Oryctolagus cuniculus: one gene and its partners. The protein of the gene in region 2 purifies or fractionates together with the protein of the main gene of each other region. This does not show direct contact. Links are inferred from orthologs where the notes say so. Each region holds a gene or a part of one and is shown on either strand. Other genes may lie near its edges. The genes, in order: SERBP1, PRMT1, CHTOP, KPNA2, ALYREF, HDAC1 and EP300.

Region 1 (3,500 bases), on a different chromosome or scaffold from region 2:
TCTTGTCAAAAATGCATCAAATCACATGAAGTCAATGACATCTTACTAGTAAAATCCCAAACTGTGTTCACTGCTGAAGCATCACTGCTACATCAAAACCACTTACTTATTTTCAGTGTCTGCCACTGGATGTTCTTCACCTTCAGGTGTTTCCTCAGTCACATTTGATTGATCCAAGTCACTGCAATTATAAGATATTTGTTTCTGAATGTATTTTGGGGACTCTCTAAGGAAAGAAAAGAAAAAGAAAAGCATCTAGATCCATTTACGTGTAGCCAAAGAGTTCTTCGTAACAATTAAAAACTTCATAATCTTTTGTCTTTTCCTACTAAATTTATTCCCCAGTACAGCTCTAAGAGAAAACAACATCAACTACTGGTGATTCACAGGCTTATTCACAAGTTAACAAGAACCAGAATGTAAGCAGCTGGAAAAGTAACTATTACAGACACAAAGGAAATCATTAGAATCCTCAAGTAACTTCAATGTAAAATATCAAGAAAAGCTTTATATTCACATGAAAAAAAATTAGTAACATATACAAGTATACAGAAGTATAGAATAATTGCTCATTTGATATACTGTAACCCAAATCTATCCCATAAGGCATTGTCTTTTAAGACAATATCTCTGAAATAAGAACATCCATTCTTGTTCCAGGAACAAAATTTAATAAATGTATAGGTTAAGACTCTAGATTAGTTTAGGATCAATTTTATTAAAAAAATCGGAATACCAACGTTAATTCATCTTTGACAGTTCCCCAGTTGTGAGATCCGCTACCTCCACGTTTGTCCTCGTGCTTCAGACCACTGTAATGTGAAAAAGAACTAACAAAACTGAGTTAACATAATACTCTTTAGTTCTAGAAATTCAAATTTTGTTTATTAAATAAATGCATTAAAATATAAACATAAAATAAAAACCAATCTAAGACTTACGATCTATCACTTCCACTATGCCTGTCAAATTCACGTTTGCCACGAGAATCAAATCCATCTCCTCGGCCCATTCCACGTCCACGGCCTCCTCGACCTCTTCCTAGACCACCACGGCCTCGGATAGGTCGGTCAATTATAGGCCTACAATACAAAATTTAAAAATTTAGATTTCCATGGTTTCCAAAAAAAGGAGTAAGAGAAATCTATTCAAGCACTCAAAAACACATATTTACTGGCTCATAAATCATCAGTTAAAGACATGCTTTAGAAAATTCTAGTCTATTTCTAAACACATAAAGGAAATCAGAACCAGGAAGCTCCCATTCTCAGAAGAAAACTGTTTTTGGAATCCTCACAGGGGTAGGGAACCTTTTTTTCTGCCAAGGGCCTTTTGTATGTTTATAACATCACTCTCAGGTCATACAAAATTATCAACTTAAAAAAATTAGCCTGCAAAAGTTCCTGAATTTCAAGTCCCACTTGCAGTTGCCTTGGCAAGACCAAACCGAATAATTTCTTACACTTCACACAGCCCAAAAGTTGGCCATTCCCGACCCCTGCTCCAAAGCATTACTACTAGTGCATAACTACTAGTTTTCACTATTATTCACTGATTATAATCAAGTAACACGATTATTCTCCAATACATTTAAAAACTAAATTAAGCACAACTAACCTGCAGAATGAATAACCTTTTTTACTATTTAAAGAGCATTTTTCTTTTAAGTCAAAATCTGGGGAGAGCAAAGAAATGACAGTGGCCATCAATTCAACTGAAACTGCCTCATTAGAAATCTAAGTCTGGACTGTTATCCAAAGGTCTGAGGATAACAATATACTCAGATACCTCAGAAACTGGTAAATGCGATCAGCCTCTCTGCTACCTGGCAATGATGCCCAAGTGACAGCTTTGTGTTAATATAGGACTATGCATTGACAAAGCATGAAAAGACTTTTTCTAAAAAAGAAATCTTACCTATCAACTGAAAACTCTCCTCCTTCACCCTTTTCTTCTAGTGGCTTTTCAAATCTTCTTTCACGAGGTGGTCGCCTTTCTGGTCTTCTATCAATTATTTTCCCTTCACCTTGAAGCTGTTGATCAGGTCTTCTCCCAACACGTCTTATTCCTAGAACATTAGATAACCTGTATAAGCAAATTATCTCTGCAATACAAAAAGTTTAGTCCTAGGCTATCCAAAAACCACAGTGCTACTTTTTCAGTCCACTAACTAGCATTTCCCATTGGAAAAAGCAAACACCAACCATTCCTAATGTGTAACAAAGTATTTTAGGGAAATTCTTAAAAACAAAGTTTGTTGTGAACTTCTATTTAGTTTGCCAAGTTATCTTCCCACATTAAAGCATTCTCTATAACTGTCTTGAAGTCATTTGAGCAGTCATTCCGCCTCACCTTTTTCAAGATGTCAGCCTATTGATAATTTAAAGAAACTGTAGACCAGAGATACATTTTGGCTTTAAAGTATCAAAGAAAATAATACCAACAGTCATTCATAAGTAACCAATTAAATCAACCAAAAAAAAAGTCGTGCTATTTTAGTCTATATAATCTGAAAAAAAATTGAGTAAAAAGACCCATAATTCTATGAAATTACACACTGAAAGGAAAACAAATGGTATTTAATGTTATTTAAAAAAATCCACCATCTAAAATAGTTATTTAACCAGAAAAGTACTATCTTCTGTAAATATCTAATACATGAAAAGCGTGCACAAACATCTACACTAGACACCTAGCTAAAAAAAAAAATTCTCATGTAACCACTAGGAAAATAGCTTATTTATCAATATGAATGGAGAAAGTCTGTTTTTAGGTTTACTCTAACACGTATGTTTGTTTTCAAAAAATCTTTATAAAACCACATTTATACACAGAAGCAGTATTATCAGAAACTATGGAAGATATCTGAATTAGTTACTGATTTCCTACCCCCATACTGTTTTTTTTCCTGTTAATGCCTTAAGTCCAAACCAACATGAATTATTGGTGACCTTAGGATAAACAGATTGATGGCTAAATTCATGACTGAAATTTCAGGTATGCTGAAATTACCAAACCACAATTTCTGACAAAGTCAAAAAGCAGTTAAGAAATTGGTTTTACAAAATCTGAAGTTATTTCTCTTGGGTTCTTTCTAAGAAAGTGGAACACAATCAGGGCATACCCAATCATTTAGCAGCCTGTTACCAAACACTAAATTATCAATCTGGTTATTAAAATGTTAAGGTTCATTCCCTATAAACTCTCAGAATAGACCACAAATGTCAGACCTTACACTGAGGCACTTAAATAAATGTCATCAGAGGCATAATGTATTGGGGTGGAGCTATAGAACCAATTCCCAGGCTATCCAAGCCAAATGCACCCAATTAACAACTTGCTTCCCCACCCAATACTATCTTGCAGGATCTAGAAAAATTTAAATAGGCTCATCTAACGCGAAATAATTGGTATTTTTTTTTAAAAAAAGTTTCTTCTGATACATTAATACATACCTGCAAGCCCACTAACTGCACTAGATTCCAGACTATTATTTAAAA
Region 2 (2,422 bases):
CAGACCTCTCTCTCCCTCAGCCTTTCCAATGAATCCGCTGAAAGAATGCCTCCGCTCCTGGAAGCCTTCGGACCTGGGAAACCTCCTGGCACCCCCAGGCTCGCGAGGCCGGGCCCTGCCCCCGTGGGAGGCCTGGGGGAGCCCTGCCCGAGCTGCTGCAGGCACTGGGGAGGGAGCCAGCGGGGTGTGTGTGTGTGTGTGTGTGTGTGTGTCTTTCACATTACAAAAAAGAAACAAACAGCCGCGGCACCTGGCGCAGGACACAGCCAGGGGACAGAACAGCATCTGCAGCAGCCAAACAGCAAAGGGCAAAGGGCAATGGATTTGCACAAGATGCCGATGAGAACCGTGCACGTGGCCCGAGCTGTGGCGCAGCGGGTAAAGCGCTGCCTGCAGCGCCAGCACCCACACGGGCACCGGTTCAAGTCCCGGCTGCTCCACTTCCCATCCAGCTCCCTGCTAATGCGCCTGGGAAAGTGGTGGAAGATGGCCCCACGTGGGAGACCTGGATGAAGCTCCTGGCTCCTGGCTGCGGCCTGGCCCTGCCCTGGCCATGGCGGCCATTCAGGGAGAGAACCAGCGGATGGAGGACCTCTCTCTCTCTCCCTCTCCCTCTCTGCAATTCTGAGTTTCTCTCTCCGCAGGCGGCCAGCGTGTCCTGCTCTGAGCTGTGCCCTGTGGGACTGGGGGTCGCCCACTCCGCCCCCACAGACCCCTCCTCCTCCGGGGCTCACCGTGGTCTAGCTTGTTGGCTTTGACGATCTTCACCGCGTAATCAGAGATGCTGGAGCACTCGATCTGGGGGCCAGACAGAAGGGTGAGCCCCCGGCAGCTCCCCGCCCTGGCCGCCCTCGCCGCCCAGACGCCCCAGACTCACCCCGATGACCTTGCGCGCCCCGGCCTTGGCGGCGAACATGCAGAGGATGCCGGTGCCCGAGCCCACGTCCAGCACCACCTTGTCCTTGAACAGGTGCCGGTTGTGAAACATGGAGTTGCGGTACGTGAGCGTGCGCACCTCGTCTTTCAGCATCTCCTAGGGCGAGAGCACGCGGCCACCATGAGGGCGCCAGCCCCCCACAGCCGGGCTGCACGGCCGGGGGCGGCCCCACTGCGGGCTCTGAGCCCTGGAAACAACACCGGGAGGTGTGCACCTGTTTTCCTACTTGTAAAAATCAGACCGGGGGAGGAAGCTCAGCTCAGCCGGGGTCTGCAGGGCTCCCTCCAGCAGCGCACGGACAGGAACTGGAATGACGGAGACCACACAGCCCTGGCGCGCGAGCCAAGCCAACACCACCTGGGACCCACAACCACAGTTCGAGTCCCGGATGCTCCACTTCCAGTCCAGCTCCCGGCTAGTGCGTCTGGGGAGGCAGCCGAAGGTGGTGCAAGCGCTTGGGCCCCGCCTCCCACGTGGGAGACCTGGGTGGGGTCCAGGCTCCTGGTCTCGGCCGGCCCAGCCCTGGCCTGTGGGGAGTGAACCAGCAAACGGAGGCTTTCTTTCCCTGTCACTCTGCTTTTCAAATTAATAAGATGAATTAAAACAGGGGAAAGAGTATAAGCACAGGGTGGGTGTCTGCCACAGCACGGCCGCGCCTGGGGGCGTCCCTGCTCCGCCCCCACAGCCCAGGCAGGTAGCAGGTGACTCGTGGGAGACCTGGGTGGAGCTCCTGGCTCCCAGCGTCAGCCTGGCCCAGCCCTGGCGCTTAGGAGCATTTGATGGGACATCTCTGTCTCTCTGCCTTCGCCAGAGACTTTAAAAGATTTTTAAAATGTAGATTTAAGAAAAATACATCTATATGAACAACGCAATTTTATAATAAGAAAAGCAGGGCTGGTGCCGCGGCTCACTAGGCTAATCCTCCACCTAGCGGCGCCGGCACACCGGGTTCTAGTCCCGGTCGGGGCGCCGGATTCTGTCCCGGTTGCTCCTCTTCCAGGCCAGCTCTCTGCTGTGGCCCGGGAGTGCAGTGGAGGATGGCCCAAGTGCTTGGGCCCTGCACCCCATGGAGACCAGGAGGAAGCTCCTGGCTTTGGATCGGCACAGCGCCGGCCGTTTGGGGGATGAACCTAGGGAAGGAAGACCTTTCTCTCTGTCTCTGTCTACTCTACCTGTCAAAAAAAAAAAAAAAAAAAAAAAGCAAGCAGCCAAGGGAGAAACGTCCTGGAATGTCACCCCAGCTGCATGGTCTCTCGGTGAAACGGACTCGGAAGCCACGGGGGCTGGGGCGCAGTCCCACTGCCGGTCACTAGAGGGCGGCAGAGACCGGCAGGCCCGGCAGGCCGTGACCTCCGTGGCGGGCTCAGGCACGCATGCGCGCGCGCCCACCCAGGCTCGGGTCCTACAGAGCACCAGGCTTGGTCTCCAAGGCAACGGCTGGGCCGAGCTGACCCAGGAGTACCAGCTGCGCAGGCGCAGTAGAGG
Region 3 (3,500 bases), on a different chromosome or scaffold from region 2:
AGAAAATCCTGGCTGGATTTGAGAGAACAGTTTGTTATAATGAATCAGAAATACACAAGATTTCACAGAACCTGGAACAGTTGACAGACTATGGTTGAAATTACTTAAACGTTCAAGGGAAATGAGAGGAGTTCAGACAGAATCAGTGAGTGGAGAAACCCAAGACTGGTTTGGAATAAACACGAGACTAATTGCTTTTCAGCCCAGGTATTATTTTCTGATCCTCCCAGCAATTAGTCTGCCACTGCTCTTCCATCCCCGTACCTTCTGACGCACTGGCCAAACCAAATGGCTTTCTTCTTCTATATGAAGGAGTTAAACCAGCTCAATCCCTTGGGAAATACAAAGCCAAGAGGAGAGTGTATAAATCTCATTTGTGGGTAGAAAGGATCTTACCCAACCCAGCAAGCCTAGTTACCACACGTGTTACTGCACATGGTAGCAACTTCAATCAAACTTGAGCTTCTACCATCTATAAACTGTTTTTTGGCCCTTGGCAATGTCAGTGTTCCCAATTTACTACACTGTATACTGCATCATCAACACATTTCTGAGCTCCAGATGTTCTGAACACTTCTAAGAGGTTATTATACAGAACTTAATCTCAGAAACCTAGGCATTAGGGAGGAACAGTGGCTCTTTCTAGGACTTTTTTGTGAGGGAACACAGATGAACCGAGGAAATGAAGATTAGAGTATATGGCAGGTGAAGGGAGGCAGAGGTAGGAAGAGGGTATCCTAGCCGTAAGGCCAACACATTCATGTTCAAAGAGAAGTCTGCGAAGGAAACAACAACAAAGAAAAAAAGCAAAGCCCAACCAAATCAAGAGAAAAAGGGTTTCATACAACACAGTATCAAAAAGTCAAAGGAACACACTAAATGCACAACTGGTGGTAGGTTAAGTCCATAGCCTATTATGATAGGTCCTTCCAGCATCAATCAGGTTTCTTTTCAACTGTTATCTCAAGGTTATTTACAGATGTGGTGATTTTAGTAAGAGTCTCTCACACAACGGTGGGCAGGCTTCAATCATTGGTTTCAGGATCTGTCTGCGCCATGTAGGCATCCAACTCGGCATCCAGGTGTCCTTTAGTTTTCGACATGTATGCATCCAACTGGTTGTCCAGCTGCTCCTTCGTCAATACGGGGCGAGTAAGGGCACCTCTCCCTCGTCCACGGCCTCGGCCTCGGCCTCCAAAGCCCCCTCTTCCCCGACCTATCATACCCCGACCTGGCCCGAGGAAAAAAACAAAAACAAAAACAAGAGTTACAATTAGGCTTAATGAATGCTATAGTAAATGCCCCTAAGAGTAGTGGAGCCTAGCTGAGAAAAGCTGAAGGGCAGGGTAAAGGAGAAATCTGGAAACACACACACACTGGATAGAAAGCAACACATGGAAAGCACACATAATGAATTCCTTATTACATGCTCATCTCTAAATGCTACTTAAAATATTATCCGATCAAAGGGAAAATAGCTGCCAATTATAATAATTAAAAAAATTAATCTTTCCTAAGACAAAGAATAACCTAAAGTTTGAGACCTCACTATCAGTTCATTACTGAAATCCATTAGAGATAACCCCATATAGCGAGACAGAAAGAAAGTGAAAGGGCACAGAGAATCAAGGGTGTGAAGGCAGATAGTTTCCAAATGAAGCTTTACTGGAGACCCTTCAGGAAAATGATCTCATCTCTCTTTAAACTTAGTGAGGTCTAACAAGCTGACTTCCCCATGTGTCAGGAGACTGAGGAGTTATTTTGACACAGGAATAATGTGAGAAGATGGAAAAAAACATTTTGAATGGTCCTAGCCCCGTCTACCTCTGATTCTAGTCACCTTAGGACAATGTGGCTATTTGAGAGGTGGTTTCAATTCACTTAACAAAGCACACTCGCTTTTTTGAAAAGCTACTTTAGTCTCTGCCACCCCTGTGATGTCTCTCAGAAACCAAATCAAGATAATTCTAGAAACATGGTATTTCATCCCGAAACTCAAACTCCTTTGCAATTCACTCAATAAGCCAAGTAGCACATAATGGGAAAGCAAACAAGCCCTTGGTTATCAGATTTCCTACAGTTAATATTCCTTGGCAGCTTCATGGTCATAAATTATGGAAGACCCACCACACACTTTAAAAGGACCAAAGGAATATAAACAAGGGACCATAAGAACAGGTCTCCCCTTCCCCTACAGGTGTTGTTGGGAGTGTTTCATTAAGCTAAGTCAGAAAGCTCCCATGAGATTTGGCAGTAACACCATCACCACCACTAAGCTTTTCCAATCTGGGTCATGAGGTCACAAAACAAGTATCACCAAGTTTCTCAAAGGTATAATCATCAAGAGCCAGTGAGTTCACTGACAAGAGTATCATCTTACTGTCCACCTTGATCAGAAAGAGGCATCTAGGGTTCCCCACAGGCATGCTGAACTTGGCTTCAGAGACAGTGCCCGGCTCCAAGTCTACCTCACTCTGCCTTCATATTTGCACATCTCCCTCTTCTCTATTCTTATCTGACTCAAGCTGGTGTTTTGAGCTATGAGGGGTGTGTGTGTGTGGTGATGATTCAGCAGAGACAGAAAAGATCCCAAACTATTTAGTCATTTTTATAATAAAATTTACATCTGCAAGAGTCTGGAAGACTACATATAATCTGGCTAATACACACCTGACTGGTTCTTGGAAAAATGACAGATTTTTGCACTACCAGCATGTGAATTTGGAAAATAAGCCAGTTTCAAAAAACAAAACAAGACAAACATACAAGCCTGTCTACGACTTGAAGCTGTGCAGAAAGGTGGCTCTGAGTTTTTAAGGGAGGAAAATAAAAGGGAGCTACTCTCTGAAGTTGGTAGCTGACTAACCTCTACCACCGATTCCGCCACGACCCATAGCTCCACGCCCTAGGCCCCCTCTCCCAGGACCTCCACGACCTCGAACACCACCTCTTCTTAAGCCCATTCGGGGAGCTACGGCTCGTCCACCTCGGAGCAGGTTTTGACCTTGGAGAGGAGGCACACAATGTATATGCAGGTAAATCCAAGAGAGACAAAGTAGATTCTGACCAAAGGAAGGCAGTGAGGGTTAAATGAGTAATTGAGTTAATTTTTAGGTTGGGTGGGGCAAACTACACACAATGTGAGCAGATTAAAAAGCTGCTCTTTAATCAATTCAACAAGTCTGACCACAAATCCATTTTTGGAAGAAGTTGGTAGTAAGTACATACATTTAATACATATTTACTGAATAATCAGATAGATGCCTAGCATTATAGATTTAAAATAAACGGTTCCTGCTCTTAATACATTCTTGTAGGAATGAAAAACTATACATGGCAGTATAATACTGCCCAAAACATAAGATACAAGTTAAATGCTATGGGTCAACTTGTCCTCTCTTCCAGATACAGTAGTTTTTCACCAGCACCAGGAGCAGAGATGGTTGGTTAAGATATAGGTCAAAAGACCAACAAAGTTCTTACATTTGACTTATTTCTAG
Region 4 (4,005 bases), on a different chromosome or scaffold from region 2:
TTAAAAGCAAACAATCACATACACTGTCCCGGGTCTACTCAGGGTCTAGGCATCACTGAGGTCTCAGGGACATGAATGGAGCCGTCACCTCCCATGACAGCAATGGCCTCCGGAAGACCTGCACGAGGCTCCTCCCGAGGGGCTGCTCTGAAACACGCATGTCCGTCCGTGGAGAATTTCCCTTCCATCGCAGACCAGCGGGAAGCAGCTAACGTGCCATGACATTCCTTCCTACCGACAGAAACCTCTCAGCGTTCACGTCCATATTTTCAAGCTCTTTCAGGAGTTTGCCAAGTTTCACAAAAGCTTCTGCTAAAACTGTCACTGTCAATTTCTTGGAGGTTCGTTTCCCCCTATAAGTTCCCTTTTCTTGCCTCTTCTTCAGCTATATACTCATGTACCAATTCCGTTACCACTTCGTCAGATCCCATGATGCTGAAGTCCACTGTTGACCAAAACGTTATATGGTATGATTGTGTTTCGGGAAAAAAGTATATGGTACAGAATGAAGCCAAAGATAAATTACAAGCTACTGTTAAGATCTCAGGAGGGAAAAGATGTGAACAAATAAAAGAAATGGAGAACACCAGAAGAGGCAGAAACCCATCAGGAAGTGGTTGGCTCTGGACGCGCCAGCCAACAGCGGAGCGGTCGGGTCAAGACAGCCCCGCAGCCGGCACGCGAAGGGGAGTCAGAAATCTTCACAGAGGTGACCATTAAAGCCCAACACCAGGAACGGAACTGAGATGTCAGAAACACGCCGAGCCGCTGCAGAACCTACCTGGTTGTTGCGGTTTTCCTGCAGCGGCGAAGTCGCATCGTCGGGAAAGGAGCTCACGTTCCTCCTCTTCAGCATCTGGTCATCCTTCTTGGCCTTCCTCAGCTCCACGTTCACTTCTATTCGGCGCCGTCTCATTTCCTTGAGACAAGACACACATCCCCTCACCTATCCGACTTTGTTGCAAAAAAAAAAAAAAAAAGGAAAAAGCTTCCCGTCCCCCCCCTTCCCACCCCAGCTCCTGTCTTGCAGCTCCCACGGGGAAGCAGCAGGTACTCACGGTGCTGTCCTTCCCCTTGTTCTTGAATCTGTGGAGCCGGGCGGCCGGTGAGTTGGCATTCTCATTGGTGGACATGGCGACGAGACCGAAGGAATCAGCTGGAAGGCAGGAAGGGCAACACTCCGGTTTCCCAGTCTGCTTTGTCCAACGGAACCCCAAGGGCAGGAAGCCCAGCAACCCCCACCCTGCAGGAGGAACGCCAGGCCGTCGCTCCTACAACCCCCCCCCCTCCGAGGGTCCAAGCCCCCCTGGAGCAGCACTGCCCACCCTTTGCCCGGCACCACACTGACAAGGCCAAAGGGGGAATGATCCACTGCTTAACACAACTGTCCAAAACACTATCGCTTCCACATACAGAGGGATCGTTCACTCTATCCCATCTCGCGTCTCTGGACGCTCACGCCCCTTCCCCAGCGCCCCCGTCCCGGGCAGGGAGGCTCCGGGCCAGGCCCCCGACAGCCCACCACGGACGAGGGCAGCGGCAGTGAACGCAGACCCTCGGGGGCCAGCAGGGACCCCCGCCGCGCTCGCGGGCAGGCAAACCACCACCCCGGGCACCCCGACCCCGCCGAGCCTGCCCCGGCGTTCCCCGCGAACGCCGCCCACCCGCAGCGCGGGGCCGCGCCTCGGCGGCGCGCACACGTCTACACTGCCAGAGCCTGGACTCGCGGGGGCCGCGGCCGGGGCGACCCCGCACCGCCGGAACCTCCGTGTTCACTCGGCCCCAACCGCCACCTCCGCCCCCGCCCCAGGGACGACGCGGCGGGGCCCGCCGAGGCGAGGCCGGCGCCCCGGCCCTTCCGCCGGCCTCTCGCCCTCCAGCCCGCCGCGCTCCGGCTTTCGCCGCCGCCTCCCGAACCTCGGCGCCCCGGAGCCCCAGCTTCCGCGCCGCCCACTAAGCCGCCGCGACACTCAACGACGCCCCGAAGGCCTCATCCGCGAGGGAGGCCACAGCCGGGCCCAGCGCGTACCCGCGGCCTCCCCTCCCGCCATCCGCAAGCCGAGCGCGGCCTCCCGGGCAGCCGTTACCGCCCGCGCCGGGCTGCGGCCTCACGCTGTACCTGCACAGCCGACGCAGGCTTCCCCAGGAGGCGGTGCGTGTCCACAGACTGCCGGTCAGCCGCCCTGCAAACGTCTACCGCGGATCAGCCCTGAGACGGTGTGCCTCGTGCAGCCGGCCGGCGCGATTTAAATTTCCCGGTGGCTCCGCGTTCCGATTGGCCAGTTCGAGCCTAAGCTTTGTACCCATTGGTGGATTTAAAAAACACGTTAGAAGGGGAGGAGGGTCAGAGGGCCTAGAAGCGGAGTATAGCCTCGCGAGATGAAGGAGCGGTCGGGCGATATCCCAGAGCGCCTTGCAGGCCGGAGTGGGAGGACTACAGATCCCGGCATGCCGCGCGATGGGGCGGCTCCCAGCCCCGTCTGTCAACCTCCACTGACTGCGCGTTTCCGCGCATTGCTCCTTGGTCGTTTTTTTGTTTGTTCGTTTTTGAGCGGCTGGGTTAAGCAAATACCGAGAAAATGAAAAAACTCTGCTGTGACCTTGAGGATCCAATGTATCAATAAATTCTTACAATTTTTTTTAAAAAGTTCTCAAGACATCATACCTAAAACAGTTGTGTGAAGGGCATTTCGCGTCGTTTTGAGGGTAGAACCGGAGGAACCGGGCGAGGCTTTCGGCCGCGGACGGAGCGGGGAGTAAAGCACCCTGCCGTCGGAATTTTTGGGTCTTTTTAATTGCGTCATAAGAGGCTGTAGAAGCTTCGGCGATGGTAACAAACGGTTTATGATGTCTGCTTCTCCCAACACGTTTTACAAATTTTTAATGTCAAAGAATTGCTAATCTTCACCCAGATTTGCCAGATGCTGACATTTTGCGATATTTACAGGGAAACACCCGTTTTTCTGTGCATGTGCGTGTATATTTGGAACCATTTGAAAGTTTCAAAAAGCATGTCCTACCCTAACATTTTAGAATGCGTCTCCCGGGGGAGAGAGCTTATCTTTCGTTGATACAATCACACAGCAGTCATCCAATTCAGGAAAACTGAACTCTCCTGGTATTACTTATCATATTCTGTGTTCAGCTTTGCCAGTTGTCCCAGGAACGGTCTATGTTGTATTTAATGCATTTCCAAATAAAATCTGCAGTTTTTGTCATGTTCTTTCTTTTTAACCAGTAAGGATGGTTGTTAGCATCAGGATTATGAGCCATTTGTTTTCTTTCTGCTATTCTTCTGTGTTCTAAAGGAAACTTGCATTGATCCTTTTACTATAAAATAATTTCAAACTGAACTTTGCCAATTCTTGCAGGAACCGACGCCTGCTCCCTTGTAGCACAGCAGCCAAGGGGCTCACAGGAGCTGCTCTTACTCCCACTCGGCGTATCCCCATGCCCCTCCGTGCAAGAATGTGGAAGGAATTCCTCCCGACCCAATCAGCGCAGGGCCTCCTCTTGGCTGCCGGGAATGGTTCGGGGCCGGCACATGACCTAAATTCATCCAGTTGGGAAGCCTATGCCTTTTGTTTAATTCTTGGAGGTGGGAAAGCAGCTCTGATCTGAATAGAAGGCTGGGAGTCCTGAGACTCTGAATAACCAAGTTGTAAAGAAGCTGAGCTCTGGGCAGCAGCCTGCCTCACCTCCGCAGGTACGCAGGACCCAATGCTGTTACTTCAGTTCCTTTCGCTTGAAAATACCGATTATGAGATAGGAATTTGATGCAGCACAGCGGAGTGCCGGGTTTGACTTCTGGATACGCCACTTCCGAACCAGCTTCTTGCTGATGTACACCATGGCAGGCAGAGGTGAAGGTTCAAGTACATTGCGCTGTCACACATGGCTTCAATTTGGCCCAGCCCTGGCTGTTAACTGGTGTTTGGGAAGTAAACCAGTGGTTGGAAGTGCTCTCTCACATTCTCTCTCTCTCTGTTCCTGACATTCAAACCC
Region 5 (4,112 bases), on a different chromosome or scaffold from region 2:
TCTACACACATCTCTATTTTATTATGGCAAAGGTGGAAACGCCACCTTCTCCACAACAGCAACCAGTAAAATTTATCCCAAAAATAACTCAGTACAAAACAGGTCTGTTTCAGAATTTAAAAAAAAAAGAAAAAGAAAAAAAAAGCCTTTACATGAGTTCTTAAATCCTATTTTAAAACACAAAAGAAACAAACGCATCCTTGGCCACACAGCGCCGGCCGCCCTCCCGCCAGGCACAGGGACGCCGTGTCGGTCCCGCTCTGCTCGCTCGCCTCCTTTAGCTGGTGTCCATCTGCAAAGGGCAACAGAGGGGAGCTCACCAGGGGCTGCCGGGCCGGGCCGGCCGGGCCAGCCGCGCTCCCGGCCCCGCGGGACTCACCCTGGCGTTGTAGGCGTCCAGCTGGGCGTCCAGCTCCTCTGCAGACAGCTGCTGCCTGGCGCTCCTGCCGGTGCCTCTGCCCCTGCCGCGGCTGCCGCCACGCGCGCCTCTCCGGGTGCCGCCGCCGAAGGCCCCGGGGCCGCGGGTTCTGGTCACGCCGCCTCTGCTTATGCTGGGGGAAGCGGCGCTCGCTCAGACACTGGCAGGCCCCCACGGCCGCCCGGCCCGCGCGCGGCCCGCGCCTCACCTCTGTGCCGGTCTCCGCTGGGTGTCGATCTGTGACGTGACGAGCTGGATGTTCATGGGGCGGCCTGTGCGGAGAGCGAGAGGGGCCCGTTCTAACCAGCGGCTCGGAGCGCCCAGCGGCTCCACGCCCTGCGCTCCATGCAGGCGCTGGCAAGGGCCTTCGTGTGTCCAGCGCCCCCGTCGGGGAGGTGGCCTGGAGCCTGGCGGGGGCTCCGGCGAGGGCAGCGGCCCCGCCGACACCGCCTCATCCTCGGGCTGCTTGGTCAGGTGTGGTGTCCGGGGTGCTCGTGGGCGGACAGGTGTGGGCGGCCTGACGAAGAAGAACCGGTACCTTTGTCTTTACGACTACAGCCCCGCACTCAGAGGTGTACTATGGCGGTTCTGAGAAGGCTTCACAGAAGTGAGTCTTCCGGAAGGAGCTGAGGGGAGGGTGTACTTGCTGGATGGGGGTTCACAAGAGGTTGGTCCCGATGTGCGGGGCAGAATGGAAGAGAGAGACAAAGGGGCAAATGCAAAGTGTCCTCAGCCAGAGGGCAAGCCGCTGCTACGGGCCGGGGCCGCCCACTCCGCGAGCCCGTCCCGGACTCACCGTCCAAGGGCACGCCGTTGTACTGCTTCATGGCCTTCAGCGCGTCCGCCTTCCGCTCGAAGTGCACGTCTGCCGTGCCCAAGCTGCGGCCGGAGCGGTCGTAGTGCACGGCCGCCTTCTTCAGCGTCCCGAACTCCGCGAACAGCTCCTGGTCAGACAGAGAGCTGTAGCCAGGCCCCGGAGGCCCAGCGCCGTGGGGCGTCTCCCGGGGTGCGGGGGAAGGGCCGGGCCGCAGACACAGCAGCTTCCGAGAGCGCCCGGGGCCCAGGGCCGCTGCGTATCCGCGCCTCGCTGCAGGGGATGGAATCGCAAAGCCCGCGTCTGCCGTCACTTCCAGCAAACTGACTGCGCCCAGGGCGGCGGGGGCAGCTGCCCGGCCCGCCCCCGCCCCCGGCAGAGGCTGGCTCCCCCTCCCTCTCCGCCCCACGCCCGCAGCCAAGTGCTGCTGAGCCGCCTGACCCCAGGCAGGCTGGGCGTCGGAGAGGGAACCAGAGTGGGACACGCCGGCCGCGGGCACAGCGGGAAGGAGGTCACCGAGAGCGGCTTCCAGTGGACGCCAGAGACCACCTTAGAAAAAGCCAGCGCTCAGGCCCAGCGTCCGCCGGCCGTCCGAAGGCGGACTCCTACCAGTCAGCCCCAGGCAAGAGCCAGCCCCCCTGGGCTCAGAGCAAAAGGGAAAAAAAGACAAAAGAGAGTGCGGGAAACCAGAAAGGCTGCACCCACGCGGGTCCGAGGCCGCCCGGCTGCCAGCTCGCGGGGTCGGCCCGGCCCGCCTCGGCCCCCCGCCCAGCCCCGGCCGGCCGCTTACCTGGATGTCGGCGTCCGACACGCCGAAGTCCAGGTTGGACACCAGCAGCTTCCCGCCCGTCTCCACGCCGGCGCCGGCCCCGAAGCCGCTGTCGAACAGGTCGTGCTGCCACTTGTCGGGAAGCTGCTTCGGCTGCGGGAGGAGGCGCCGCGGCGGGGCGGAGCGTGAGCCTCCCCGCAGGCCGCCCCGCGCGCCCCCACGCACTTCCCGCCGCCCCGCGCGCCCCGGCCACACAAAGACCCCAGGAGGCCCCGGCGCCCGGCCGGCTCCCCCGCGCGGCCTCGCCCGCGCCGCCGCCCGGCCCGCCCCGCGCCGCCGGCCCCCGCAGCGCGCACCCCCGGCCCCGCTCGCCCCCGCCGCCCGCGGCGGCGGCCGGCCCGGCACTCACCCGGCTGTAGGGCGCCGGCCGGTTTCTGCCGCCGCCGCCGGCCGCGCCGCGGGCAATGGCCGGCCGGTTCCGGAGGGGCCCGCCGCCGCGGCTCACGCGCGCGGCCGCCTGCGCTCCGCCGCCGCGGCCGCCCTGGGAGCCGGCCCGGCCGCGGCCCCGGCCCCCGCCGCGGCCGCCCCGCTGGCTCCGGTTCAGTTTGATGATGTCGTCCAGAGACATGTCCATTTTGTCGGCCATGGCGGGCGCCGAATCGGCCTCAGCTCGATCCCGCGCGTCAGCACGCCGCGGCGTCACTTCCGGCGGCGCGCGCGGACTTCCGGCGCCGCGGCCTCGGCGCTGGCGCTGATTGGCGGCGGGCGGCGGCTGCGCGCGCGGGGCGGAGGGGCGCGTGCGCAGTGCGCGCGGAGCGGGCGGGCGCGGACTGGAGCTGCCGGCCGCGGCCGCGGTCGTTTTTATACCTTCCCGCGCGGACGCGGGCGCCGCCAACGGAAGGGCGGGGCGGCGCGCGGTCAGGTCGCACAAGGTGCGAGGGCGCCGGGGATTGGGGCGGCCGCGGGGGGCGGGGCCGGGCGGGCGAGGGGCGGGGTCGGCGGGCGGCGGCGGCCGGGGGTCGCGGCGTCTGCCGGCTCACGCGCGCCCCTCCCGGCCCGCAGGCCCCGGCGCCATGAGGGTGAAGATCAAGTGCTGGAACGGCGTGGCCACCTGGCTCTGGGTGGCCAACGACGAGAACTGCGGCATCTGCCGGATGGCGTTCAACGGCTGCTGCCCCGACTGTGAGTGCCCGGAAGGGCGGTCGCGGAGAGCGCGAGGCCGGCCCGGAACGCCGCCCGGGTGCCCCCGGGGGCGCAGGGCCATCGCCGCTGCCCTGCCCGGACGGGAGGAGGAGGCCGCACGTCGGCCCCTGCACCGAGAAATCTGCGGAGCCCCCACCGCCCTCGCCTGGGGCGCGGTGGCAGCGGCTCGCGGCGCCTGTTAGGATTTACTTATTTACTTGAGAATCCGTTACGGAGAAGCAGAGCGGGGAGAGAGGTCTGCCATCCGCTGGTTCACCCCCCACATGGCTGCAACGGCCGGAGCTGCGCCGACCCAGGGCCAGGAGCCTCCTCCGGGTCTCCCACGCGGGTGCAGGGCCCAAGCACTCGGGCCGTCTTCCACTGCGTTCCCAGGCCACAGCAGAGAGCTGGGTGGGAAGTGGAGCAGCCGGGACTCGAACCGGGGCCCATACGGGATGCCGGCGCTGCAGGCGGTGGCTTTACCCGCTGTGCCACAGCGCGGGCCCCTAACTGTGGTTTAGTTTTTCCTTCCACCCTGGCTGGAGAGAGAGCTCATCAGGAGCGATCGCCCGCCGGGACTGGGTCGGTGGGTGGGTGCCGGGCTCTGGGAGTGGATTTCTCTCCACACCCTCTTCTGTCGTGCCCCGGGGTCATCCCCTCCAGGCCGGCCCTTTGATTGGCTTTTCCTGGTAGCAGAGATTAGCAATTGGCGTTATTCAGCGTTTAGATTGCTCTGGAGGGCGGGACACAGCCCGAGGCCAGGGCTTGCACCTTTCAGAGCAACGTTGTTAACCTCGGCAAGTCCCGAGGAAGCTGCCCGAGCCCACGTCTCTAACCAAGGCAGTGTCTCTAACCGTGGCCTTGCCTGTCGTGTCTTCTCGCGTGGCCGGCACTGGGCCTGTGAGGGGCGTCCAGGCACTCAGCGCTGG
Region 6 (2,189 bases), on a different chromosome or scaffold from region 2:
TGGCACCTGGGCTGGGGAGGACACTGCCCCTGTCTGGGTTTTTATAAATGTCTTACTCAAGTTCAAACCTCCAGCTTGTGAATCAACTGTGTCTCTTTTTTGACTTGGTAAGCAAGTATTAGGCTTTGGGGTGGGGGAAGTCTGTAATGTGAAACAACTTCTTGTTGTCTTTTTCTCCCATTGTTGTAAATAACTTTTAATGGCCAAACCCCAGATTTGTACTTTTTTTTTCTAATTGCTAAAACCATTCTCTTCCACCTGGTTTTACTGTAACCTTTGGAAAAGGAATAAATGTTGTCCCTTTAGTGGTGCTTTAATGACTGGTCTTCTGGGGATGGGGTGAGATCTGTGGACACTAGTTAACCTCCAGCCAGGAGCAAACTAGAAGGCAGGTAAGTTTACGGGCTTTGTCGTCGTAGGGCTGCCCTGCCCGTACACCAGAACGCAGGGAGTTCAGAGCTGACATCAACCCAGGGAGTGCCAGGAAACAGAGGCTCAGGTGGGTATAGAAAGGTACCATTTTATTACAAAGAGTCGCACAAAAATGAAAATAGTATCTCAAAAAGGAAGCTAGGCCGCCAGCCTCCACCTGCAGAGCTGGGGAAGACCGAGGGCGGGCAGCATTAGTTTCGGGGCTCACCTGAGGCCAGCGGGACGGTATGACGAGAACAGAACCAACCTAAAAATGGCTAACGTTACCTTAGGGGCTGGAAAGAACAGGAAGTCCCTGAAGACCCAGCCACCCCTACCCTCCTAGAATGGTCAACAGGGGGCACCTTTCCATACCTGCTAGGGACACACCCCGGCGTGTCTTGTAGCTCCCTTCTACCCACACCTGGAGCCCTTCGTGGTTTAAAATCGAACTGGGGAGGGATGGCTGGCAGGGCAGCGGCTATGAGTTTACCCAGCTTGGCTACCCTGGCCTCAGGGCCTTGGTTCTTGTCTAGTCCTCAGGGATATTTATATTTAATATATTTTTATATAAATACACAGAAATAGAAAATATAAAATCTTGAGGGGTTAAGGGAGAAAGGTGGGAAAGCTGGCCAGGAGCCAGATCTGGAGAAGTCTGCTCAGGCCAGCTTGACCTCCTCTTTGACCCTGTGGAGAAAGCAGAGACTGGCATGAGATAACCCACCCCAGAGGCCTTGGGGCAAGAGTGGGGATACAATGACTTCCTCAGGCCCAGGCTGCCCAGGTGACTGCCGGGGGCTGGGGCTTCTTAGCTCTGCCTAGAGCTGCAGAGACAGACAGACTGGTCCCTGAAAGAGGCCTTTGTAAGTGGGACCAGCTGTCCCTGTGCCTTCCCTCTCAGAGCAGTGGGACAAAGGGGCTGATGCTCCAACACCAAGGCAGACAGCTCCTTCCTCACCCTTTGGCTTCTGGCTTCTCCTCCTTGGTTTTCTCCTCTTCTGCGACTTCTAGAACATAAGAGTGCAGGGATGATCAAGGGCAGCCCCTCTGGAGAGACCCATACAGTCTTTACCCCAAAACCCCCTCCCAGCACTATGGCTTACTGGACTTAGAACAAGAGAAAAGCCCATCCCAGGCCCTCCCAGTGAGCCCTGCTGAAAACAGACAGGTTGGACCGGTTTTCCAGCCTGCCTGAGCCAGAGCTTGGTGGGCGGAGGCAGCCCCCTGGGAAACTGGGGTGAGTGCTGGGAAAAGCGCTTGGGTGGTATGTGAGAGCCACTGCATTGTGGGCCCTGCTGCTTCTGGGAGCCCCTGATCCCTGCAGATGTGGCAGGGCGTGGGCTGAGACCCCAGTGCTGGACATCCAGACCTACCTTTCTTCTCTTCAGCATCTTTGTCTTTTTCATCTTCTGTTTTGACTCTCTTGGCTTTCTTGAAGTTGGAAGAATTCTTGCGCCCGCCCTCTCCCTCCTCATCGGAGTCGGAAAACTCCTCCTCACAGGCAATTCGTTTGTCAGAGGAACAGACTAGGAGGCAGGAGATGGAAAGTCTGGGTGAGAGCAGGAGGTTTTAATCCCAGGGTCTATGTTCAGTGCTTCGCTGTGTGTCCTCAGAGACAACCAAGGGATGGGGACCACAAGGAGGTGAGGGAGTGAACTGACTCCCAGCCTGTTCCTGCAGGCCCTAGAACTTCCAGGTTTCTCAGCAGGCAGGCAGAAATGGCGGAGGGAAGCCCTAGCTGCCTGCTGAGTAGAAGGCGGAGGCCAAGAGTCTGT
Region 7 (3,500 bases), on a different chromosome or scaffold from region 2:
ATGGACTGTGCTATTGGTGTGAGTGTAAATGCTGGTTTGTTCCCTTAAATGCATAGATTCGGTCTAGGTCTGTCATGTAGGTACAGGGGTCTAAGCACTTGGGCCCTCTTCCACTGCCCTCCCAGGTGCATTAGCAGGGAGCTGAATTGGAAGTGGAGCAGCCAGATCTCAAACCAGTGCCTATATGGGATGTCAGTGTCACAGGTGGCGGCTTTACTCACTACGCCGCAACACCGGTTCCCCAAGTGGCATCTAAACTACTACACAAAACACCTGCCCATATTTTGTTTTCCAGTAAAGGGCAGCCAATGCAGGGACTTCCTTAATTTATTTCTCTTTTCTGCCCTAGATGGTCCTCTCCCTGACCCAACTATGATCCGCGGCAGTGTGCCAAACCAGATGATGCCTCGGATAACACCACCATCTGGTAAATTTTATAACCGGGAAGAATGAGTTACTAGTTTTGATAAATGGTGACCAGATAGAGGAATAGTGCCTCTTATTCTCCAGAAGGGTGCTGAGATTTTATACTCTGCATGTATTCATAGGTTTGAATCAATTTGGCCAGATGAGTATGCCCCAGCCCCCTATTGGACCCCGGCAAACCTCTCCACTTCAGCACCATGGACAGTTGGCTCAGCCTGGAGCTCTAAACCCGGTTGGTTTGATTTCTTTATGTAATCTGTTTGGATTTTATAGGGGTTTTCTAAAAATTCTTGTTTTTGCTTCAAGAACAAAACTTCTCATACTTGCCTAGACACAAAATACAAGAGCTTGTTGTTACATTTTAATTGTTGTATTTTGCCCTTAATATAGATGATTATATGTATTTCAGAGATGAGACTAAATAGTTGCATTATGTTAAAGAGGTGGAGTGACAGGAATAATTATTACTAATGGGAAACAAATGCTGAAATCTCTTCTGCTTATCTCTTTCACTTAACAATAGTTAGAAATCCCACAGAAATAATTACTAAGGGACTTGGTGATGCAGTCTGAGGAAAGGGTGTTACAGTGTGCGAGGATATAATGTGATGGAAGTTCATGTGAAGAAGAGTAGAGTGTCTTGATTACAAACAAGTCAGTCTGTGTAAAATAAACACTAAAAAAGGCTCACATCCAAGCAAATACTATTCATAGTTGTAAAAATCATAGCATTAGAAAGTTGACAAAAAGCAGCCAGTACCCTCTCTTTGGAGTCCGCATGTCCAGTAGCCTCCCCACTTTTTTTCAGTTTACCTCTCCTCCATAATAATTACCTTCTCTTCCAGGCAGTGAACTGTGGATCTTTGATAAGAGCAATGGGGGAGCCATTGCCTGGTTCTAGAGACTGAAGTGGAGATGCTGAGCATACCCGGACTCTTAACCGACATTGGCCCAGCCCTCACCCTGTCCTGCTAGTTACCTGGCACCTCTGTTTCTTGAGCCTTTTTAGGGTTTTGCAGCATTGATACTTTTCACAGCTGGCAACATTCAGCAAGGAATCCTAGTTCTCATGTTAATCTATAAGGCAGATGCATTTCTTTAACTGGTTGAGATTTTTGCTTTTGGTAATCCAGATTTCCATCATCTGTTAAAGGAAACAATCCAAGAGCAATTGTGGGCCATGAATGGTGCTAGATTCAGCCACGTCCTGTAAGGGTTTTACTTTTCTTTTCCCACACATGGAATCTGAAAATTTTTACTGTTGCCATGCCACTTACAGTGAGCAAAGAGCCCAGGATGTTGTGCTTTGGTCCTTCACTTAACTTAGAGTGTTCAAAGAAATGGCTAGCTCTTTTCCTGTTAGTTCCAGATAGAGCGCTGTGTGTCCCCATCCTCCTGTAACTTAGAGAAGCCATGACATGAGACCATCCCCATGGTCTAGGCGTAAAAGTCAGTTCTTCACCACTTTTCTCCTCTCTCTCCCTGCCCCTCCCTTTACCTGTTTTCCTTTCTTCTCTTTCTCTGCCCAGTCAACCTGACAGCAGGGCCAAATTAATGGATGATTCCAATTGTGATAGAAGAATCGTAATGAAGCAGTTTGGTACTTTGTGTTTTTTTGCAGCCTATGGGCTATGGGCCTCGCATGCAGCCGCCTACCAGCCAGAGCCAGTTTCTTCCACAGTCTCAGTTCTCATCACAGGGAATGAATGTAGCAAATATGCCTTTGGCTCCACCCAGCGGTCAAGTACCAGTGTCTCAAGTATGTCTCACAAGGGGACCTTTGCCCTTATGGGGATGGGGGAGGGGGAGGGGATTTGTGAATCTTCTGTTAGGTTTTTGCCCGGAAGAGTGGCAGCAAATAGTGGGTGATGTTTAAAAATATGAACACTTTTGGATTTAGGGTATTCTGGATATGAAGAGATAATTATGTGTATAACAATGGCTTTGTTAAAAAAGTAACACATAATTTAAATTTGAGGGTTTTAACCCTGTGTTGTTATTTTACATTTAATTAGTTTGTGTCCTAAATGCCTATCTGCCTATGTAAATTTTCCTTCATTCTGTTTGAATTATCATCTTAATGACTTCATTTTAACAGGCACAAATATCTGGTTCTTCCTGCCCAGTAAACTCGCCTATAATGCCTCCAGGATCTCAAGGAAGCCACATGCACTGTCCCCCTCTGGCACAACCCCCTCTGCATCAGAATTCACCATCTCCTGTACCTAGTCGTACCCCGACCCCTCACCACACTCCTCCAAGCATAGGGGCCCAGCAGCCACCAGCAGCAGGGATCCCAGCCCCTGTCCCTACACCTCCTGCCATGCCGGCCGGGCCACAGCCCCAGGCTCTGCACCCTCCTCCGAGACAGACACCTACTCCGCCCACAACACAGCTGCCTCCCCAAGTGCAGCCGTCGCTCCCTGCTGCTCCTCCAGCCGACCAGCCCCAGCAGCCCCGCTCTCAGCAGAGTACAGCAGCCTCGGTCCCCACCCCGACGGTGCCACTGCTGCCTCCGCAGCCCGCCACTCCGGTAAGCGGAGGTTTGCATTTCAGTGGAACGGTTTCAGCGCTAATGTAATATTGTGTTACTTTTGTGCCATTTTTGATTCCATGATTCATCTCTTACTGTTGTCTCCATAAGTGGAATGGAATGTTTGATTAAGAACATTGCCCCCCCTACTCTTACTGCCTTCGATAGTACTTAACGTAGTAGGAACTCAAAGATTTTGTTTAGGTCTTTCATTATTGTATGCCATGTAGTATTCTGGGGCCTAAAAGCATAGAGCATAGCAAGAGGTAAGAGGCCCCTCTTGCTTCCTTAGTGTGACAGTTAGTGTACCTCCTGAATTTAACATATATTTAAAAACCCTTTTCTAACGTTTTAAGGTTCAGTACTCAAAGATTGAATCTCTGGCCCTAACAAAGGTTAACAAAGTCATGGTAAAGAGACAAGAAATACAGACCTAAATCTCTACAGCTTCCTTGTGAGAGGCTGATTATGTGTAGAGTAAAAATCTAAATTCCTGTCTAGTAGTTGAATCCTTAAAAATTGAACCTGTGTATTGTTAACA

Evidence for each region.
Region 1: the proteins of PRMT1 (region 2) and SERBP1 purify together in Homo sapiens (affinity purification with mass spectrometry; 3 studies listed by BioGRID and IntAct, with this or other methods). This does not show direct contact. The link is inferred for Oryctolagus cuniculus from reciprocal best matches to the Homo sapiens genes PRMT1 and SERBP1.
Region 3: the proteins of PRMT1 (region 2) and CHTOP purify together in Homo sapiens (affinity purification with western blotting; 7 studies listed by BioGRID and IntAct, with this or other methods). This does not show direct contact. The link is inferred for Oryctolagus cuniculus from reciprocal best matches to the Homo sapiens genes PRMT1 and CHTOP.
Region 4: the proteins of PRMT1 (region 2) and KPNA2 fractionate together in Homo sapiens (co-fractionation; 3 studies listed by BioGRID, with this or other methods). This does not show direct contact. The link is inferred for Oryctolagus cuniculus from reciprocal best matches to the Homo sapiens genes PRMT1 and KPNA2.
Region 5: the proteins of PRMT1 (region 2) and ALYREF purify together in Homo sapiens (affinity purification with mass spectrometry; 3 studies listed by BioGRID and IntAct, with this or other methods). This does not show direct contact. The link is inferred for Oryctolagus cuniculus from reciprocal best matches to the Homo sapiens genes PRMT1 and ALYREF.
Region 6: the proteins of PRMT1 (region 2) and HDAC1 purify together in Homo sapiens (affinity purification with western blotting; 3 studies listed by BioGRID, with this or other methods). This does not show direct contact. The link is inferred for Oryctolagus cuniculus from reciprocal best matches to the Homo sapiens genes PRMT1 and HDAC1.
Region 7: the proteins of PRMT1 (region 2) and EP300 purify together in Homo sapiens (affinity purification with western blotting; 4 studies listed by BioGRID, with this or other methods). This does not show direct contact. The link is inferred for Oryctolagus cuniculus from reciprocal best matches to the Homo sapiens genes PRMT1 and EP300.

The regions. Positions count from the first base shown.
Region 1 is NC_091438.1:105,138,149-105,141,648, reverse strand, and holds part of SERBP1 (SERPINE1 mRNA-binding protein 1), read right to left. Parts: intron 2,069-3,500; coding exon 1,918-2,068; intron 1,083-1,917; coding exon 942-1,082; intron 831-941; coding exon 741-830; intron 227-740; coding exon 107-226; intron 1-106. UniProt on the Homo sapiens protein: Ribosome-binding protein that promotes ribosome hibernation, a process during which ribosomes are stabilized in an inactive state and preserved from proteasomal degradation.
Region 2 is NC_091449.1:7,826,829-7,829,250, forward strand, and holds part of PRMT1 (protein arginine N-methyltransferase 1), read right to left. Parts: intron 1,034-2,422; coding exon 878-1,033; intron 799-877; coding exon 735-798; intron 1-734. UniProt on the Homo sapiens protein: Arginine methyltransferase that methylates (mono and asymmetric dimethylation) the guanidino nitrogens of arginyl residues present in proteins such as ESR1, histone H2, H3 and H4, FMR1, ILF3, HNRNPA1, HNRNPD, NFATC2IP, SUPT5H, TAF15, EWS, HABP4, SERBP1, RBM15, FOXO1, CHTOP, MAP3K5/ASK1, MICU1 and NPRL2.
Region 3 is NC_091438.1:44,665,075-44,668,574, forward strand, and holds the end of CHTOP (chromatin target of PRMT1 protein), read right to left. Parts: intron 3,005-3,500; coding exon 2,867-3,004; intron 1,232-2,866; coding exon 1,026-1,231; 3' UTR 18-1,025; downstream 1-17. UniProt on the Homo sapiens protein: Plays an important role in the ligand-dependent activation of estrogen receptor target genes. May play a role in the silencing of fetal globin genes.
Region 4 is NC_091448.1:13,973,730-13,977,734, reverse strand, and holds the start of KPNA2 (importin subunit alpha-1), read right to left. Parts: upstream 2,801-4,005; 5' UTR 2,666-2,800; intron 2,428-2,665; exon of another isoform or gene 2,296-2,427; 5' UTR 2,052-2,295; coding exon 2,030-2,051; exon of another isoform or gene 1,918-2,029; intron 1,684-1,917; exon of another isoform or gene 1,665-1,683; intron 1,572-1,664; exon of another isoform or gene 1,414-1,571; intron 1,157-1,413; coding exon 1,059-1,156; intron 920-1,058; coding exon 782-919; intron 1-781.
Region 5 is NC_091448.1:1,021,319-1,025,430, reverse strand, and holds ALYREF (THO complex subunit 4), read right to left. Parts: upstream 2,801-4,112; 5' UTR 2,648-2,800; coding exon 2,411-2,647; intron 2,155-2,410; coding exon 2,023-2,154; intron 1,363-2,022; coding exon 1,215-1,362; intron 691-1,214; coding exon 627-690; intron 552-626; coding exon 380-551; intron 293-379; coding exon 278-292; 3' UTR 1-277. Other genes in the region: ANAPC11 (anaphase-promoting complex subunit 11), read left to right, coding at 3,075-3,183. UniProt on the Homo sapiens protein: Functions as an mRNA export adapter; component of the transcription/export (TREX) complex which is thought to couple mRNA transcription, processing and nuclear export, and specifically associates with spliced mRNA and not with unspliced pre-mRNA.
Region 6 is NC_091438.1:140,146,351-140,148,539, forward strand, and holds the end of HDAC1 (histone deacetylase 1), read right to left. Parts: intron 1,941-2,189; coding exon 1,788-1,940; intron 1,422-1,787; coding exon 1,373-1,421; intron 1,102-1,372; coding exon 1,074-1,101; 3' UTR 501-1,073; downstream 1-500. UniProt on the Homo sapiens protein: Histone deacetylase that catalyzes the deacetylation of lysine residues on the N-terminal part of the core histones (H2A, H2B, H3 and H4).
Region 7 is NC_091442.1:117,220,126-117,223,625, forward strand, and holds part of EP300 (histone acetyltransferase p300), read left to right. Parts: intron 1-349; coding exon 350-427; intron 428-548; coding exon 549-658; intron 659-2,047; coding exon 2,048-2,185; intron 2,186-2,524; coding exon 2,525-2,959; intron 2,960-3,500. UniProt on the Homo sapiens protein: Functions as a histone acetyltransferase and regulates transcription via chromatin remodeling. Acetylates all four core histones in nucleosomes. Histone acetylation gives an epigenetic tag for transcriptional activation.